Notamacropus eugenii: one gene and its partner. The protein of the gene in region 1 purifies or fractionates together with the protein of each later gene. This does not show direct contact. Links are inferred from orthologs where the notes say so. Each region holds a gene or a part of one and is shown in the gene's direction. Other genes may lie near its edges. The genes, in order: G6PD and HARS1.

What was found.
Region 2: the proteins of G6PD (region 1) and HARS1 fractionate together in Homo sapiens (co-fractionation; 3 studies listed by BioGRID). This does not show direct contact. The link is inferred for Notamacropus eugenii from reciprocal best matches to the Homo sapiens genes G6PD and HARS1.

What each region holds. Positions count from the first base shown.
Region 1 is NC_092879.1:10,232,999-10,243,200, reverse strand, and holds the start of G6PD (glucose-6-phosphate 1-dehydrogenase), read left to right. Parts: upstream 1-6,191; 5' UTR 6,192-6,203; coding exon 6,204-6,474; intron 6,475-8,062; coding exon 8,063-8,190; intron 8,191-10,202. UniProt on the Homo sapiens protein: Catalyzes the rate-limiting step of the oxidative pentose-phosphate pathway, which represents a route for the dissimilation of carbohydrates besides glycolysis.
Region 2 is NC_092872.1:368,090,533-368,100,942, reverse strand, and holds the start of HARS1 (histidine--tRNA ligase, cytoplasmic), read left to right. Parts: upstream 1-6,370; 5' UTR 6,371-6,465; coding exon of another isoform or gene 6,466-6,555; 5' UTR 6,556-6,620; coding exon 6,621-6,806; intron 6,807-6,932; coding exon 6,933-7,022; intron 7,023-7,982; coding exon 7,983-8,102; intron 8,103-8,519; coding exon 8,520-8,615; intron 8,616-9,840; coding exon 9,841-9,966; intron 9,967-10,410. Other genes in the region: histidine--tRNA ligase, mitochondrial-like, read right to left, coding at 103-345, 438-565, 1,099-1,192, 1,752-1,850, 2,096-2,203, 2,315-2,440, 2,850-2,945, 3,056-3,175 and 2 more. UniProt on the Homo sapiens protein: Catalyzes the ATP-dependent ligation of histidine to the 3'-end of its cognate tRNA, via the formation of an aminoacyl-adenylate intermediate (His-AMP). Plays a role in axon guidance.

The sequences.
Region 1 (10,202 bases):
TTCAGTGCCTGGAAGAAAAAACCCAGGGCATAAGATCTATATCACAATTCATGGGAAACTTGACAGGTACTATCTTACGTGTCTGAAAAAGCATTTTCTTACTGTATCTAATCCCAGGTTCATTTTAAAAGGAATAAGAACAAACATGTCTCAAGACATATTCCTGCAAACTCCATGAGGAGGTACTGTTTTTCATTTTGTCTTTATATCCCCAGTGCCTTGCATAGTGCCCAGTATACCAAAGGTGCTCAATTAATGCTTACTGGATTGGGCTGGATGAGAGGAGGAAGATTAATGATGATGATTAATAATAATAATAACATTTAGATTTAGATTATTACATGCTAGGTACTAAGTGCTTTACAAATATGATCTCATTTGACCCTCACAACAACCCTGGGAGAGAGATACTATTATTATTCCCACTTCACAGATGAGGAAACTGAGACAAACCAGGGCCACACAGCCAGTAAGTATCTGAAGCCATATTTGAACACATCTTCTTTATTCTACGTCCACTGATCTATCCAATCATGAGGAGTAAAAAAAAAAAAAAAAAACAAACCCCTGTTATATAAAAAGAAGTGAGGAGAGGCCTAGATAAAAAGAGACCTGGAAATATTATGTTACATGGGATGGCTCTCTGGGAGGGAGAGGGATACTGGGGGAAAGTAGGGTGATGATAACAACAAAAGACACGGATTAAAACTTATTAAAAAATAGAAAGAAAAGACTTAGGAGGACAGTCATCTGAAGGATACTTGTTTTGTGTTGCTTGAGGTGGCAGAACTTGGTCCATCAGATAGGACTTAGAGGGGGAGGTCACAGGCTCTTCATGGTTTTTTACATGGTACTTTACAAGGCATCAGACTCTGAACACCTCCTCCAATATTCCACTCATATGAGACAAAAACTTTCTAATTAGAGCTGTTCAATAGTGAGCCAGGCTATTACCTAACACAGTGAGCTCTCAAGTCACCTGTCTAGGCTATCCTGCACATGCATTTTTGAAAGGCACTATAACCTACTGAAAAGGGTAAGCCTGAAGTCAAAAGTCTGGTTTTGAATCCCACTATAAACTGTGTGACACCCCTAGGCACGATGCTAACTCTAGAGTCTTAGTTTCCTTATCTGTAAATAAGGATAATGATCACTAGAATACCTGCACCATAGGATCGTTGTGAAAAAACCCTTTGCAAATCTTAAAGCCCTATATAAATGGGAGCTATTTCAAGATGGGAGGCTGAATCAGATCACTTCTAAGGTTCTTTCCAACACAGAAATCCTGTAACTATAATTCTATGTATACCTGATATTCTATAAGACAGGTTCCTGAAGACTTACATGAGCTGATGCTGAGTGAAGTGAGCAAAACCAGAAGATTATACCCTGTATAATATACAGCAATACCGTACGATGATCAACTTTGACAGACCTATCTCTTCTTAGCAATGCAAGGATCTAAGACACCTCAAAATGACTTTATTTCTCTATGTGTATTTTCTCTGAAGTTCAGGGTGCTTTTTCCCCTGCACTAAGTGAATGTTATATGTGCTTGATTAAAGTGATTCCTGACCCCTCAAAAGTTGCTTTCCTTTCAGAAAAGCAGATCTAAGAACCTGTACAGCAGGCCTTCCTGTGTATATCAGGGTCCTTGCTGTTACACTAATGTGAAAACATATTTAATATGAATGTATATGTAGAGTCTGTATCAGACTGCATGCCATCTGCGGGGGAGGGGAGAGATGGGGAGAAATTAGGAACTCAAAATCTTATGGGAGTGAATCGTGAAAACTAAAGATAAATAAATAAAGACACATGGGGGGGGGCCTCGGAGCTGGGCACAAATCAAATGGGAAATGCACTTAAGGAGCTAATGATTAAAAAGAACCCAGTGGAAAATCCTTTTCTAAAGGACGCAATCCTCTGGTAATGAATCATCATCCCCATATTTTATGTGTTTCATAAGAATATGTATTTGTTTATTAAATTCTCTGCAAATGATTAAGCCAGAGCTCAAAAAGACTGTGGGGACTATGAGATAGTACAAAAACTGAATCCTGTAACCCCAGAGGGTCAAGGCATCCTTCATCTGGAGCTGGAAGTGACCTCAGAAGCCATCAAGTCTAAGTCCCTCTCATTTTGGACAAGAGGCCCAGAAAAGTCAAATGACTGGCTTCAGGTTGCACAGCTAGTGGTGTTCAGAGAGGCCATAGTTAACCCGGCACTGACTACAGAGCCAGGAGGCTGCCTTGTGGGCATGCAGTCCAGAGTCCTACCTCTATGACACCCTTTCCTGTCTCTGCTTGAGCGATGTCCAAACTATGCCTCTGCTTCCACTTCTCAATCCTTTGCCATCTGCTTGTGACATCAACTCAATTGAAACTGCTCTTTCCAAAAATCCAATAATCTCTCAATGGCCAAATCTCATAGTCAGGTTGATCAGGAAAACAAGGGGTGACAAAAAGGCCTTTTTAGCTCTATCAGAGGAAACTCAAGACCCATGCTTGGAGTGAAGACCAGAGGCATCAAACCCAGTAGGTCCTGCAACACTCCCACTCCCAGCAGGAAAACAGATTTACATGTAATTGGGACGTGTTTAACAAAATAAATAAAAATACAATGAAACATAGATAATGTAAATGTGTGGTTTTTTCCCCCCTCTGAGCCGCTGCTGCTGCCCTACCCTGCCTCTGCAAAGAAGAGGAGAAGGCAGAGCTGCCAGATTCTTTGCTCCTGTTCTCTCGGAAAATAATGGTGACAAAATGAGTTACTAGGAAGTCAAAGGGAGCGTACCTAGTTACCCCCAATGAAGTCATCACCTGGTCCACATCAATCATAAAAACAGGCAGATGTGGACAAACAAAAGAGCAGAGAAAAGAGGAGAAGCACTGTATAGTTGAAATAAGGCAAATGCCTCAATTTTCCAAAAAGGTAAGAGAACAAAACATGCAAAAACACATACCAGTGAACTTGACTCCCATCCTCAGGGAAATTCTCCCACATCGCTAAAGAGAGGCTTAGTGAACATCTACATGTTGCATGGGGAAGGGGGGCTACCAAAAGTCAGCATCAAGGCTTTTTTTTGACAGTTATGAGACTGATTGGGAGGATACTACATAGTTTACCTAGGTTTTAATAAAGAGTTTTAAGACGTATCTCCTGCTATTCTTGTGGAAAAGACAGAGCTACATGAATTAAATGACAATACAAGAAGAAAGATTTAGAACTGGTTCAACAGCTAGACTCAGTTCAGTGAATCTGATGCCAACTTGGCAGGCTATCAGCAGTAGAGTGGGCCAGAACCATGTTTGGTCTATGCTGTTAAACAGAATTTTAGGCCTCTAGGTGGCGCAGGGCATAAAGACCTGGATCTGGAGCAAAGAAAGACCTGAGTTGGAATTCTATGAGGATTCCTTAGCTGGGTGATCCCAGGCATGTCACTTTTCCAACCTCTCAGTTTTCTCAATAGTAAAATAGAAATAACAGCACCTGCCTCCAAGGATCGTAGTGTGGATCAAATCAGATAATATGTATTAAAGTGCTTTGCAAACTTTAAAAATGTTAGCTGCGATTATTATTACCAATGACTTAGATACAAGACAGCATGTGCATGAAAAGTACAAATCACTACAAGGAGTATTGCATTTGGCGTACCTATTTAAGGACAGCATTGTTAAGAAGGAAAGCAACCAGGATGGCAAAAGGCCTAGAGTTTCCCCATCATATCATATCATCACAGGCTGAAAGAACTAGGAATGCTTAGCCCAAGGAAAAAAGCCTGAGGGGCAAGGAAGATAGCTGAGCTCAGGAAGAGAAATTCTATGGGGGCTATTTGGTCCCAGAGTGCAGAAGCAAGCTCAGTGTCAGGAAAAATTTCCTAATGGCTGGAGCTACCCCAGGAAGTTAACAAGTATTTCTTTATGAAATGCCTATGTGCTTGGTCCTGTGTTAAGTGTCCCAAATGGTGGGTTTCCCCTTACTGGAGATCTTCAAGCTGAGGTTGGATGACCAGCTATATTAGACAGGATTTCTACTGGACAGGGGCAGAACTAGGTGGCTCCTGAGGCTCCTTCCAACTGTGAAATTCTGTGAGCAAACTTAGGCAGATTGAGTCCAAAGCATCCCTAAATTATACTACAAATTATATCATTTTCAATCAATTAATCAATAAACATTTATTAATCACCTACTATGGGCCAAGCTATACAGAGTATGTGGAAGTAGCTAGGTGGCTCAGTGCATAGAGCGCTAGGTCTGGAGCCAAGAAGCTGTTGTTGTTCAGTAGTTTTTCAGTCATGTCCCACTCTCCATGATCCTACTTGGGGTTTTCTTGGCAAAGATACTGGAGTGGTTGCTATTTCCTTTTCCAGCTCATTTTACAGAAGAGGAAACAGAGGCAAGTCACTTTTGTCTTAATCCACTGGAGAAGGAAATGGCAAACCATTCCGGTATCCTGGCCAAAAAGAACAGAACATAAATGAATACCAATGAGCCAGGAACCATGCTAACCTGAGGATACAAAGAGGCAAAAGACAGTCTTCTGCCTTCAAGGACCTTATGATCTAGTGGGCAAGGTCCTTTCCAGCTCTAACCCTGCATTGGTCTGAAAAGATGAAGTGGAAAGTTAGCAGCTAACTAAAATTGACATAGTGCTTACTATGTGTCAGTCACCTTTACAATTATTATCCCGTTTGATCTTCACAACAACTCCAGGAGATAAGTGCTATTATTCTCATTTGACAGATGAAGAAACTACGGCAAACGGAGGTTAAGTGACTTGCCTGAGTCACACACTAGCCAGTGTCTAAGGCGATACTTGAACTCGGGTTTTCCAGACCCTCCAAGTCCAATGGCATGGCAGTGCCACTTCGATGACTCCAGAGAAGGGTGCCCCCTTAGTGCCACAGCCTTATCCCGTTATTATCACCATTAATGAGCTCACAATTACATAGTTTTCCACAAGTTGTGGCATCTGATCCCCAAAACAAACTTAGGAGGTAGCGTCCATTATTGTCATACCCATTTTACAGATGAAACATCAGAGGTTCAGGAACTTGCCCGGACTCACACCGTTAAGTGGGAATCCCATCAGAAGTCTAGAAAGATGGTGGCAAAAAAAAACCTGCTCTTTTCCTTCACATTCTCCCCTCTCCCAGAATTACGAAGAATGACTGGGCGGGGGCGGCGGCGACGGGGGGAAGGGGAGAGAAATTGGGCCAATGGGGAGTCAGTTACCCTGAGGCCAACCCCAAAACCTCGGACGGCAGCGGTGGCCCAGATGAGGCAGGAGAGGCTGAACATGGCAGAGCAGAGTGAAGGGACAGGCGGCGGGAAGGGGCTAAGGGGCGGGGCCGCCATGGGCGGGGGCGGGGCCCAAGGGGCGGGGCCTGGGCGTCCGACTCACCCCGGAGGCCGGAGACTCGGGCCTTCAGGCTTCAGCTTCGGCCCCACCGGGGCCCGGGGAGCCGCCAGGCCCGGCCGGGCCGAGCCTGAGTCCACACGCCACGGACGCAGCCGCGAAAACTACACCGAAGGTAGCGACGGAGGCCCCCCCCAAGAATCCGCCAGCTCGGGTCCCAGCCGACGGCTCCGAAGCCCGGACTCCTCAGCGACTCCTCCCCACCCAACACCCACTTCCGGATTGTGCCGGAGGGCTGCGGCAACCCGGAAGTGCAAAAGTGAAAGCTTCGGAGTCCCTCAGACTGTCTCCGCCCCTTCCTCTGGCTGTCTCCGACCTCCAGGGAGCGAGGACTGAACCAATAACGCCTTTGGCGGGGGTGGGGGGAAATTTACCCTGTGTTTCCCGTGCCAGGGCCCACTTAGGTCTAGAAAGAAATCCTAGGCACTAAGCTATCTTCTAGAGCATCTGCTTCCTCCTCCTAGTTTCGGAACGATCTCTTCTGTCACCTTAAGTGCCCCTGACTATGCACTTTATCAGTTCCCCTCCCCACTCCAGGCCGGTATCAGAAAACTAGGAGGAGTGAGAGGAACGAGGGGCGGAGTTCTTGAGGGGGGGGGGGGGGGGGGGAAAATAAGCAAAGGGGCGGGGCTTCCGGCTAGAGATGGGAGACCTCGGCTTGGCGAGAAGAACAGGGAGCGTGATCTGAGAAGGGCGGGCCCATGGCCGGCTCGGGGGGCGTGGCCACGTCGCAGGCGGAAGCGGCGAGCCGGGCGAGGCCACGTGGGGGTGGGAGAGAGAGATGTCGCTGAGGAGGCGGGCTCTCCTGCGCCTGAAGCGCGAGGTGCGGAATCCCAGGTCTGGATCGGAGCCAAAGCCGGGGGAGCAGGGAGGGCCGGGGCGGAGTCAGGGGCCAACGGGGCTGGGCCAGGGGGAGGAGATGGGGAGTCGGGCGAGTGTAGCCGAACTGCACTCGGGCAGACGAGGCATTAACCCGAGCGCAGCAGCGGGCCCGGTCGTCTCCCTTCCTCTGCCGGATCAGCAAGTGACCCAGGATCCGGAGGCGAAGACTGGTGAGGAGGCCCCCGGCCTGCCCAACCCCAACCTCCTCCATCCTCAGCCCCGCCCTGCATCCTGGCCTCTGTCCTGAGCTCTCCATCCTAATAGCCTTTCTCTTAAGCCTCTGCAGTTCCCTCCTTCGACTTAGTCTCCAGGCTCTTTGATCCTCTTTACCCAAGCATCCTCCCTCATCTCCTTCCTCCGAACCCTGGTCAGAAGGCTGTTTCTGCATTGATTGATGACCTTCCTGTTCAGATAAGATACTGTACTCTTTCCCATCTCAGCCCTGGCCTGGCTTTCTTGCCCCTTGTAGATTGTCTCTGGGGGCCTAGATCTAAAGGAAAGTTTCCTCTATATCCCCTAAGGGGTTTTAGCTTAGGCATGTGATCAAACTGACTACTGGAAATACTCTGCTTCTCCTACCTACCTATCAGGGAGAACCTCTAACCCTTCGGAACCATCCGCTGAGGGAGATCAGATCCCACTGAGGTCCTAGGGAAGTTGAAACAAGCCCCAACAGGTAGCAACAATCGAACCTGTGGCAGGGGTCTGGCTGAACTGCAGTTAGCTGGATTTGGACCCTGGTGGTAGTGGCATAACCCCTTGCGGAGAAGGTTGTCTTTTTGCTCTAGGTTCTCCCTTGAGACTTCTTTTTAAAAACAAAACAACCACGCACCTGCAACAGTCTTCTTCCACAGTCCAGTGCCTTGCTGATGCAGATGCCAGATAATGTTGCATCCTGAGGATTTTCCAAAGTAGTGACTGTGAGGACTGGGACAGGCCAGTTTTAGAAATAGGAGAGACATCAGAAAAGGCCAAGAAGAAATAATATTTTGTGCTTGGTTATACTGGTCATATGGCAAAAAATATACAAGCTGGATGGAAATGTACAGATCAGTCAGTCTAGCTCCCTTAAAAGGGAAGCAACTTTGGACTCCAAGAGAAATAAACTTGTCCAGGGTCACAGACAGTGACTGAGTCAGAACTAGGCCCCTCCCCCACCCCGCCCCCTACTCCCTACCACCCCCACCCCCACCCCCACCCCTATCATCTTCAAAGCAAGAGGATAAAGGAGCTAATTAGCATTCTGCCTGAGACTGGGACCCATTATCTTCAAAGCAGAAGGAAGATCAGTGAATTAATAATGTTCCTGCTTAGGTCCTGATTTTCTAGTCGACATTAACCCCCACCTGTGATCCTGCCCCTCAAGCTATGAACACCTTGAACTAGAATCCCAGATGAGAGGCTCCAGCTTGAACTCATCCTCCAGACATCCACTTTGGAAAGAAGGGGGGGGGGGGGAACACCACTTTGATCCCCAGACTTAGCCATTGAGTATCCTGACCAAACGTAGGATATTTAAAATGGGCTTAACAGGTACAAAATGTGACTGCTGGAAGCCTCCTCAGATACCCTCAAGGCATCAGAAACCTAACGTTTTTTATCCCTTCTCCTAAACTCTGAACTGGTAATTGCTTCTTGGAGATACCACTTGAAATCTGGGCTGCCTGGGGAGTTCACTTGTCCCTCTTAGGGGGAGGGGCAATGACCTTCCAACTCTCTCTTTGCCAGAGCTCCCTCACAATCCTTTCATTCCTCTAGAAAACAACATGGCAGAGCAGGTGGCACTGAGCCGGACCCAAGTGTGTGGAATTCTCCGGGAAGAATTGTACCAGGGTGATGCCTTCCACCAGTCAGACACACACATATTCATCATCATGGGAGCCTCGGTGAGTCACTCTGGGCCTCAACTTTCCTCGTTTGTAGTATGAAGGAGCTGGGACTCACCCCACTTCTGGCTCCAGATTCTCTGTTCCTACCTGCGCACTCACCTCACAGCTTCTGCTCAGCATAAGTCCTCGGTCTCCCAGTATCTCCAAAGGCCCAGTTCCTTCTGTTCTGTTCTTTGGGCCCTCTGTTGAAGATTATTTTCATACTATCTTGTTTCTCCTGATTTCTTGTCCTGGCGTCAGGGCAGTGATTATCACCCTCATTTTATAGATGAGGAAAATAAAACCCAAATTACTAACGTGATTTTTTTACCCCCTGATGTCAAGAGCAAGTTAGTGTTAGGCAGGTTTCCAGCTTCCCAGGCTAGAGCTTTTTGTTTTTCCCCTCAAAATCAGGGTGTAGAGGACAACTTGTGGAGAGGCTGGTAATAGGGGAAGGAGGGAAGGCTACTCCCTAAGGCTGGTGAGACTTTCTTGAGGGCAAATGGTGTCGGAAAGGTCGTGGGTCATTCTTGCTTATCAACTGAGTGGTTATCTTGCTTATCTTTGTAATTTCTTCATCTAACCTGGCTCAGTCTTCTCCAGGCCTGGTTTGAATAGACTGATAAGGGGCTTTTTTGGGGCCCCTTAAGGGTTACTAAATACCCCACTATTTCCCTCTGACTGAGCCCTGTGACCCCAGGGGTGTTTGAAGTCCTTCAAAGGAATGTCATCATGGTTTGGGTTGGTTGTTGGTTTGTTTCTGGGGTGCTGAAAGGAATACTCTTCTAAATTAACTGATTGGAGACTTGGAAGGAAAGCCCCACCCCTGTACCAGGGGTTAGAAGCCCCTGTTCCCCAGTGTCCTCTTCACCAAGTTTCATTTAGAATTCAGGGTTTGGGCTTAAACTTGCACTTATCACCCCAGACCTGCTCTAGGATCATTTGTTCTTCAAGTTTGGTAATGCTCGTTGGCATTTCCAGAGTGCTACAAGGTTTGCCAAACACTTTTCTACCTTTCTCAGTGCTTCTATGGGCCTCCTAACCATGCTGGCATTTCTGATTGAGAGCTCTGATCCCCAAGGTAAAGGCCTGAGGTGGAATTCAAACTCAGCCCTTTCCAACCCTAATCCTTCCTCACCAATGCTGGGTCCCTCCAGCCGGGCCAGGGCATTGGGGATTTTGCACTCTGAAATGACAAAGTGGTGCTTCCTGAGGGCCATTAGTAGCTTATGGAGTGTGCAGAGAGTGGAATGAGTTGGCAGAAGAGGGCAAGAGTAAAGAGAAGCCTTTCCTTCTCTTTCCCTGGCTTTCACCATGCCCTTCTTGGTTTCAAGTACCTCTGTTCCTGTAAGTCACTGTTTCCCAACCTTTGTCAGTCCAAGGTCTTGCTATCTATTGACCCATTTCATATAAGTAAAATAATATTATTTCAATGGGAACCTCTGTGGTCCCAAAGGAATCCATTGAAAGTACTCCGTGTAGCCCCCAAAATCTCTCCAAGTCCATGCCCACAACTTTCCACTCCCAGGAGTGCTTCAGTCCTCCAAGCAGTTATTAAGAGTCTATAGGATGTCAGACATATAGGGGATATAAGGGCAAGAGAGAACCAGTCCCTGCTTCCAGGGAATTTAGGTCCGAGAAGACTCTGTGTGTGTGTGTGTGTGTGTGTGTGTGTGTGTGTGTGTGTGTGTGTGTGTGTGTACACCAAATGAATATAAGAAAGTATAGAGATGAAGGGGGGATCCTAACAGTTGTAGGGACCAGGAAAGTCTCCATGGAGAAGATGGTGTTTAGGCTGAGGCTTCAAGGAAGTAGAGAGATTCTAAGAGGCAGAGAAGGCTTGGGGAATCCAAAGGCATGGATGGAAAGATGCAGAGTGGAGCAGGAAGACAGCCACTTTGACTCAACTAGAGTTAAGGAGAAAAATGTCTAATGAGGCTGGCAAGTGTTAGGCAGGTTTCTAGCTTCCCAGGCTAGAGCCTTTTGTTTTTCCCCTCAAAATCAGGGTAGAGAGGGCAACCTGGGCTGAT
Region 2 (10,410 bases), on another chromosome or scaffold:
CTTCAACAAATCAGGATTAGAAACATCTCTCTTTCAGAAAGAGGGTCCCAATCATAGAAGGTGTGTTAGGGACTTCTCCACTTATTCCTAGCAGGGTCCTACCTCCATCCTGTGTTCCACAATGGAGAAGATCCTTTCAACCCCAATGCTGAGCCCCACACATGGCACCTTGCGGCCCTTGGGGTCAAACATGCCAACAAGCCCATCATAGCGCCCTCCAGCAGCCACACTGCCCACACCAAGTGCTTCCTCCCCTTGTTGGGCTGGAGTCTGAAGAAGCACTGCTTCATAGATCACCCCTGTATAGTAGTCCAGGCCTCGGGCCAGGCTCAGGTCAAAGGAGATCTGTGGGGACATGGAGATATGGTCAGTCTCAAAGGTGAGACTTGTTCTGTGATCCTCTACAATCTGCTGGGGCCTGCCCTTCCCCTACTCACCTTCTCTGTTATGCCAAATAGGGCCAGATACTCAAATAGCAGTTTCACGTCTCTCAATCCCTCCAAGGCCTGCTTGTTCTGTGAGAGTTTAGGATCCTGCAGTAGCTGCTCTACTAGGGACACTCCACCTGAGAAAGTCAAACATAAAAGTCAGATAGACAGGGGAAACAGGATCTTTAGAATTCATCCAAACAAGTCTACACAACCAAAAAAACAAGATGAATAAAACAATAAAAATAGCTAGCATTCAAACTGCTTTACATATGTTATTTATTCTTCATATCAACCTGTGAGGTAAGCAGTACAGAGATTATTAACTCCATTGCATAAATAAGGAGAGACTCAGAAAGGTTAAATCACAAAACCATATGCATCAAAGGCAAGATTCTAATTGAGGTCTTTCCTAATTTCAAGTTCAGTGTCCTTTTTACTCTAATCACGAACTTTCCAAAAAAATCCAAACTATGGTGCTGTTATTCCTCTGCTTCTGTTTTCTTCCTTCTAAAGAAGCAAAAAAGACAGGAAAAGCTGAAATAAGTTCAAGACCAGCTTTTTCCTGAGGGATCTGTCTCTCTCTAGAAAAGTGGGCTCAATGTTAGATATGCAGCAGATCTAGTCCCTATCATATATACATCTAATTCTTGGGGAACCTGCTTCTTACCATGCTGCTGGATGTAAACCCCAATGCTATCTGCCACTTCAGGGGCCAAAGCCATTTTTCCTACAATCTCTTGTCTCACGTCCTTCCAGGACATCTGCAGATAGAGAAATATTAGCTCATATCCAAGACCCTGCTTTCTTTTGTAACAAGAGGCATTATAATTCAATCAGTAGACATTTGAATGCCTACCATGTGCCTAAAATCTGACAAGAGTCAGGACAGCGTAACAGATACAGCAAAAACCTACAGTTCAGGAAAGAACTAAGTTGGAATTTTGTTTTCAACAATTACTAGTTATGTGCCCCACAGCAAGTCGCTTAAACTGCTTATTCCCTAAACTGCAAAGTAAGGATAATGATAATTTTAATGGATTCCTCATAGGATTGTTGCAAGGAAAGCACTTTGAAAACCTTACATTTCTGTGTTAAAGTGAACTATTATTAGGTGAAGAGGTAAACTTCAATTAAGGACTGAAACCAGGTCACGATTTAGTTAAACTTTCTCTTTACAATATCTCTTTACAATAACTTTCTTTAAGTAAATAAGATAGTTTACTTTACACTGTTCTTTAAGTTTCTGAAACACAACGGCCCAGAAAGACGTAAGCCACAAAATCTTAGATGAGGGAAAATGAAAAGATATTCCTTTGTTACCTTGCCCAGCTTATCCACCAAAGCAGAGATAAATCGGAATTTGTTATCAGGGACACCACAGGCAGCCAACATCCCATCCAGAATTCGCCTGTCATTCACCTGTGAATCCCATATGCACCAGATACTCCATCAACACCTATTCTCAAAAGAGAGATCCATCCATTCTTCTTTCCCAGTGATTCCCTTTAGTAAAAGGAGAAGGGAAGCCCTGCAATCAGACTATAGCAGAAACAGCTGCTAAAGCCAAGGGATAAAGTTGGGACCATCATGAAGAAAAGAGGAGAACCTAAAGGAAATAATCTCAGGTCATGAACACCCCCCTCCTCTTTTGTTTTCACATTCACCTTAATTAAGAAGTCCCCCAACTGCAATGCATTTAGGATTTCATGTATGATCTTTAAACACTCTGCATCAGGGATCATGGGATCAAAATGACCTGCAATGTCAAAATCCTGTAGCAAAAGCAAACAGTGAAAATTTGAAAATCCTCTAATTAAACCTGGGTTACCAGTGGCATTGCTCAGAGAACTCCCTCCTCACTGTCCACTGACCCAGTCACTCACACATTGGCAGAACTCCCGGTATCGACCTTGGGTTATGGAGGGACTCTCCCGTCGCCACACCTTCCCAATGTGATAGCGTTTCATCTTCTTTATCTTATTCATGGCCAAGTAACGAGCAAAAGGGACCTCACAAGAAATGATTAAGGAAAAAGCACTCTCCCTTCCAGAACTGGTAACCAACTGCATCTACACAAATCAGATACTAGAGAAATTCCTATCTCTGCAGTAGATTCCAACATCATCTTGTCAAACTGAAAATTCAGGGAAAGGGAAACAAGGATCTAAGTGGTTTAAGACCCCTGGGATCCTTCCTTCCTATGCACCTCAATCCTTAATTCTCCCAGATTATTTAAGTTTGAAAGCCTGATTTTCACCATTACCTTCAGTCCTTACTTTACTGTGGACATGCTTCCTTGAGCCATCTAACATAAAACAGAAATCAGAGCTCCAGATATGACTATGACATCTACAATTCCCTCCCTTGACTTGGGAAAGGACAGTCTGGGATAAAGTAAAACAGTTCTTAGAAGGATACTGTGAGGTCATATCGAAGAGCCAGGAGCTCCCCACCCTGATCCTTCAGGTCATAGATGAGTCTGGAGTCCTCTCCATACTTCTCTGTTAGCACTTCCTGGACAAACACAAATCTATAGCTTAAAAAATATGGTTTGGGATACTGGAGGCTAAGAAAGGAAGAATTTCAATACTACTCCTCCCTCCCCCGCTTTTTCTTTCTGTCACCTTTAGTTCAAATGCTGGAGTGTCTAGCCCTTTAGCTCCATGGCGCTTGAAGCAGCTGATGATAGCATTAAGGATTTTCTCTCGAATAGCCATCTGTTGAGGGCTAAGATCTCTGGTACCCTATGAGCCAAAAGCAACCAGAATAAAGGGAAGAAGGTGAAAAGTTTAAAAACAAATTGTACAAATTTGTAGGAAATTTCCCTGCAGGAAACAGGGAAGGATGAATAGACCTTACAACAATGGTTTATACTTTTAAAGCACTTTTAAGGTTTGTAATGCACTTTACACACTCTCTTCTCACAATAACCCTATGAGGTAAGTACTGCTATCATCCCCATTTTACAAATGAAGAAACTGAGAAGTGAAGTATCCTGAGAAAAGTTACATAGTTAGTAAATGACTGACGTAGGATTCAACCCAGCTCTTTCTGACTCCAAGTGCAATCTATCCACCATATGATACGCTAATTCACTGCAAGGTCCCACCTCAGGTAAGGGCAGACTGCTCTTCCCAAGCACCCAGGATACTGGAAAAGGAGACCAAAAAGGATGAGAGAAGAGGATTACCTTGGGAGTCTTGATAACAAAATTGGATTTCTCTTTATCTATTTCCGACTGAATCTTCAACCTGGCCTCTGCAAACTGAAAGGAAATGATTATGGCACGCTAAGCAAGAGATACTTATCTCTGACCCCCAGAATTTCTAGTCTTCCAGTTACAAGAAGAAAGTCCTACAGGCTCCACACTTGTGCCCGAATTGTGTTCATAAAGGATTTTGAATGAAGTCAGATCTTTTTCCCAGTGGCTCTCATTGTATTGATATCTCCATCCCACCATACAGCATGATTTACTCTCATTCAGTCAAACTCAGCTAGTCAATTCTACTCAAGACTTTTTGCTAACTGACACCCAAGGAAACTTAAGACCCAGAAACAAACAAGAACTTACAAAAAAAATAAATTTATGGCAAGACCAGAACCTAAAAAGACTCTAATTCTACATTCAAAATATAGTAATAAAAATGGCAGATCAGAAAGGTGACTCCCTACAAAAGGGCTATGGCCCTTTGGATCTAGATGGGTTCTTACAGAAAGTTGCTTTAAAATAAAGATACAAAAATAAACCAGATTATGATACAAGAATAATTTATTAGATTTTTATTTGTTAGCTTTAGATTATTAACTCCTCTACTGAGGCAGCTGGTGGCCCAGTGGCTAGAACACTGGGCTTACAGTCTATAAGACTTGAGTTCAAATCTGGACTCAGGCACTTACTAGCTGTGTGTCATCCTAGGAAAGTCACAATCTATTTGCCTCAGCTTCCTCAAATGTAAGATAGGAATAATAACAGCACCTACCTCTCAGGGATGCTGGGAATCAAATGAGATATTTGTAAAAAAGTGTTTAGAATAGTGCCTACCTAGCACATAGGAGGTGCTATATAAAGGCTTATTCCCTTCCATCTCCCCACCCCCCTCAAAGAAAAGGATGAAAGATTTGGTGCTGGAAGGGACCTTAAAGACCATCTAACTCATTTTAAATACAGATAAGGAAACTGAATTCTAGAAAGTTTTACTTAGCTTACCCAAGGTCATACAAGGAATTAGTGACAATTCAGATTTAAACTCAAGTCCTCTGAATCCAAATTCAACATAATTTTCTCTGCATCACAATATTAGACTGTAAATTCTTCAAGGGAAGGAACCCTATCATTTTTTTTGGCTCTATGTGTAAAAAAATGCAATTGAATGAAAAAATACTAGATTATAGCAGGCTATACAATAAGACTTTTTGGAAACCTGAGAAAACACAGAGTGGTACCTCAAGATAGTCCTATTTAATAACTGGGTGATTGATCATTTAATTTAAATCATTTAATTTCTCAGGGCAGCAATGTATTCATCTCTAACAATGATTACAGTAATAATTCACTTTTCTATAATTCTTTAACGTCTGCAATGTGTTTTCCAGACACCTGTAAAGTAAGGAGTGTGCAAGTATTATCCCTATTTTTAAAATGAGAAAACAGAAATTTAGAGAGGTTAAGCTTTCTAAATTTTAGGACCATAAAATCTCCAAAGAAACCATTATTACCTGCTTTGGCCCTTCATCACAAGGACCATGGGACCTTTCTATCTGATTTGCAATGAAAACATTCTGTATATGTGGTTTCCTCTACTAGAGGGTGAGCTTTTTGAGAACAGGGACTGCACAGCTTTTCTATTTGTATTCTCAGTGCTTAGCCCAGTGTTTTGAATTTAGTATGTGTTCATTCGGTACTAGAAAGGGCCTCAGAAGCCAATTATCTCAACCTGTACCTAAACAGGGATCCCCTCCATAATATGACAAACAAGACTTGCGTGAAGTCTTCATTCAAGTGAGGATTTCAAAGATTCCCACGGATGATTCCGCTGACAGTCCCGAGGCTCTCTGTACCATGAGTCTGAACAAAACGTATTGAAATAAAGGGATAAATTGACATCGCAGACTGTGGGGCTCCGTCACAAACACTAGGGGGCGAAGCACCGCGGTTCGTTTGCTCCAGATCCAAAGGCAGTTCTGCCCAACCAACCCCTCTGCCGCTGAGGGCCCACTTAGTTTAAACCTTCGCTTTACCGAAGAGGAAACTAAGGTCTTTAAAATAAATCAAGCGTTTTTAAATCTACTCATAAGGTAGGGTACACATTCAGAAGCTGGAGTCCTTGCTTTGAGCGGGCTCAACCACACAGGGGTAGAATCAGGCCGGGAACAGCTGGCGAGCCTGCCGGGGACCCCGACGGTTCTTCCCTTCCAACCCAAACTGGGGCCATATCGACCGATAAGCTGGGACAGTAGAGAAGCCAAGGAGCGCCCAGAGAGAAAGGGGGGAAGGCAGAACGTACCTCCCGCGCTGGAGGCTGCCCCAAGCCTCCTTGCACCCGGCGGAAAAGCAGCGTGGCCCCGGCGCAGGGGGCGCGGGGAGGTCGCAGCAACTGGAGGGCCAGTGCGGCCCAGGCCTCCCGAGACCAGGGTCCGAGGCGCTGCATGGCCCGGGGAGGGGGCTTCTCTTCCTGCGGTTCTGGGGTTCGTGCACACCCGCAGAGGGCTGGACACGGGGGGAAGGGGGAGGGAGGACTGGGGCAGAGAAGGCGCTTGGGCTGGGTCCAGGGAGTGAGAACGGGCTGGTCACCAGGTTAGGGAGGGGGAAACTGAGGCAAAGGGTGCCGGATGTTCCCATGCATCAAACCCGCCAAGGGGCAGGCAGGCTGCCAGAGCGGAGCGTCTCGTGGGAAAGGGTAGGGGATGGGCCGCTCTGGCCTCCAGACTTCCGCTCTTCCGGTTCAGGCGCCCGCCGGCCGGAAGCTGCCTCTGGGCGCGGTTCGCCGGCGGAGCTCTGGGGCCGCAGTCAGTGACAGCCGCGGCCGTTGCAAGGATGGCGGATCGAGCGGCGCTGGAGGAGGCTGTGAGGCTCCAGGGCGAGAGAGTGCGGAATCTCAAGCAGCAGAAGGCGGGCGCCGAGCTGGTGAGGGCCCCGAGAGGGCCGGATCGGGGCCCGGGGTGGACGGAGCTCTGGCTCAGGGGTCCGGTATGGAAGGAGGAAAGGGGCTGGGCGAGGGCCTTGACAGGGACGAGACTCGGGTCCAGAAGGCGACTCCCCCGCCGGCCTCGTTCCGATCCTTTGAGGAGCTCCACGTTCTTTCTTTGGCTTTAGCGTCACAGCGCCTGGGAGACTGCCGGTGCTTTGAATCCCATTGTATAGATGAGGAAACGGAGGTATGGAGGGAAAGTGACTGGCCTACGGTCTCACAGCTTGCTCTGAGTCAGAGGCCTGGAGGAGGGCCCCGGCTAGGGACCACATCCTTCCAAACTCCCGTGTTTATTGAGGCCTTTCCTTCGCAGATCGAGGAGGAGGTTTCCAAGCTCCTGAAGTTGAAGGCAGAGCTGGGCCCTGATGAAGGGAAACAGAAGTTTGTGCTTAAAACTCCAAAGGTAAATGTGTTTTTAGAGAAGCCTTTCCGAGGGTGTTTGATGAGCCTCACTGCATTGTCAGTTCGGTTTATTTTTATATATTGTGTTTTTTTCTTGGTTATATTTTGAGTTCCAAATCCTTTCTTTCTCCCTCTCGGCTCCCACTAGAGAAGACCAACATCTCTCACATACACACACACATGAGTGTGTGGTCAGTTCACTTTAACAAGTTCAAGACACTAATAGATACCGAAGATACAAAGGTGGCAATATTTAGACCCTACCTTCAATTAGACCCTACCTTCAAAAATTTAGTGACAGAAGCCCCAAAAGAAAATTAAATAAGTTCAAGAGGAGAGGTCTAGTCACGGTGCCACTACAGACTTAAAAACATGGCTTTCTCTTGGGAGGAAGAAGTGTTTAGCGTGTTTCGGAAAACAGACACTTTTGGGCATTCAGCTGGAATTGAGTTGTACCTGTGCGTTCTGTTTTTGTCAAGATAGGCAGGATTTTAGTCATCTCAACCTTTGGGAGAAATAACACTACTGCAGATTCTTAAGAACAGCAGCAACTCTTGTCTGTTGAAATATCTGCTTTTTTTTTCCCCACACTTCCCAATTAGTTGTTATAGAAATAAAATGTAGATTATCTTTAGGGATTCCATAGTTAATCAATTTTAAAAAATTTTTTATATTAAGACAGTTAACTTAAAAATCAACCAACCAAATATCCCTCTCCAAGCACAACTCTAATGCCAGAAGTTAAAAGCCTTCTTTTATTTAGATGATAGCTATCCTACCTAACCCCCTTCAGTCCATGCAGATTTGGCTTGGTGGTTAAAAGGAAATTAAATGCAATTCTGTTCCATTATAATTGAGATTATAAATGGAATACTTCTGAAATACCAACTCCTCCCGCTTTCTTATTACTGAGTTGCTTGTTTGCTTGCTTTTTTTCTCCTTTGATTATTTTGACTACTAGGGCACCAGGGATTACAGCCCTAAGCAGATGGCTGTTCGAGAGAAGGTTTTTGATGTGATCATCAGCTGCTTCAAGCGCCATGGTGCCGAAGTAATAGATACCCCTGTGTTTGAATTGAAGGTGAGGGCCAAGGCCAAGGGAGAAGCGTTTGGCAAAGAGATGGGGAGGAATGTAGAGCAGATACACAAGTCGATTAGATACCAATGGGATATAGTCATGAGGGATCAACTATTAAGATGGGTGTAGACAAGCCCAGCCCTATTCCTGATGTACAGGAACTTGATTGATGTTTAAAAGTAGGAACCAACATAATTTTCCCACATTGATTTCTGTGGCTGTGGTTCCTGTTTTGGATTGATGTTTTTATTGGGGGGTAGTTGCAACCATAAATATTCTTGAAGTCCTCCAACAGAACACCCTACAGGGCAGTTGATTGTTTGCACCTCTTATGTTATTAGGGATATGCAATTAGGCATCTTTATCCAGGGTTAGGCACAGCCAATGAAATAATCATATATTTTCATCTTTTCCTTCCAGGAAACACTAACTGGAAAGTATGGGGAGGACTCTAAGCTCATCTATGACCTAAAAGATCAGGGTGGTGAGCTGTTGGCTCTTCGTTATGACCTCACCGTATCCTTTCAAAGTGAGCTCTAGGATGCTGTCGTTTAGACTGGACTTTAATTGACAGGAGGTGATGGAATCCTCAGATTCAGAGAACATTGGACATGGATAAGAAGAAATTCTTGAATAAGTGATCCAAAGAATCAGTTGGAGAACGAGTTAGATGAAGTCCCTCTCTAAAACAGAGATGCAAATTCTAATTAGCTGGGCCCACCCCTAGGAAGACCATTCAAGAACTTAATATAGTGCCAGGGCTCACATCTGAATCCATTATAAATTGCCTGATTCTGGAAAACCATTCTTTGCCTGTCTTGAAGACTGTTTAGACCATTGAGTAGATCTTCAGTAAAGAATGATGTTCTGTTTTAATTGTTCCAGAAAAGCAGTCATAATATGGGTCCGGTGGGCACTAAGCATAGTGCAGGGTTTCTTCCATATTAGTATTTCTGCAGTGTCAGGTGTCGTCCCTTTGAGTATTCCAAGGTTCCGATAACTCTTGCTAGGGTAATCCAATTGCACAAGGAGCCTGGGGAGAGTGTGGCCACTTTGTTTTCAGATAGCTTCTTCTGGTGTAATTGTAATTGTTACTCTTTTTCTTAGGAATCCTGAGGGTCTTCCCCTCCCAGTTTGATTTTTTTTTTATTATGTCATCATCTTGATGACATGGTACTCTTCGAGAACGAAGGACAAACACAAACCTTGAGTGAGTAGCAGCTCCTCTGCTCTCCTCTCCTCTGTGTTCTGCCCAGAGGAAAGTAAACTCTGTGGCCAAAGCTGCCTTTTTGCCTCTGGGTTTACTGGCTACATTTTTTGCTCAAACAGCAAGCCTTAAACACAATTCATTCTGGAGTTCATAGACTGCACAACAAGTCCCCTCCCAGTTTGATTTTTTTTTTTTATTAAAGGGGGCCATCCCTTGAGCAACTTAAAGAAGCCTATTCATTGAATGGGTGTATCTCACTCAAAGTAAGATGTGAAAGGGTCAGGGTCTCACATTTCATCCTAGGCCATCTCCAGTTGCCCTGTTGAATATCAGGCCACTGGACCCAGTTAGCTCCAGAGGAAAAGTGAGGCTGGTGACCTTGCACAGCCCTCCCACACTGGAATCAAAGTCAACTGCAAGTCATGTCATCATCTTGATGTCATGGTCTTCTTTGATAATGAAGGACAAACTCAAGCTGGTGGTAGTAATTATCTCTGAACAAGAGGAACTTTCTCCTTAACCCATCAACAGGTTCCTTTTGCTCGATACCTGGCAATGAATAAACTGACCAACATTAAACGCTACCACATTGCAAAGGTGTACCGTCGAGATAATCCTGCAATGACTCGTGGCCGTTACCGGGAGTTCTACCAGTGTGTGAGTGTCCCAGAGCTAAGAAAGCTCAGGGCATTGAGTCCTCACTGAGATCAGTTAGAATTTAGTTAAGTGTTCACTTTCCTGAGCAGCATATATAGACATGATACCTGTGTCTAGATACGTCAGGATGACAATATATGATGAGGAGCTAAAAATGAAGATGTGAAAACCAGCTGTATGCACATCAGAATTAATTAAAGCTCTAGTCTGAGCAGGGAAAAAGTGAATAAATGGCTAAAGGAAAAGCACGTGCAGGGAGATTTCACCAAAAGAGATGATGGAGATGAATAGGAAATAGAGTAAAATAGCATAGTCGTAAGAGTTTCATGACTGTGTCATCTTCCAGGTTTGGAAGGGCAGTGAAAGGGATCAGTAAGGTCTGTAGTCTTGCATATGAGGGAAAGGACATTGCCTGTGGGGGTCTGGAGGCTCTGGAGATTTGGG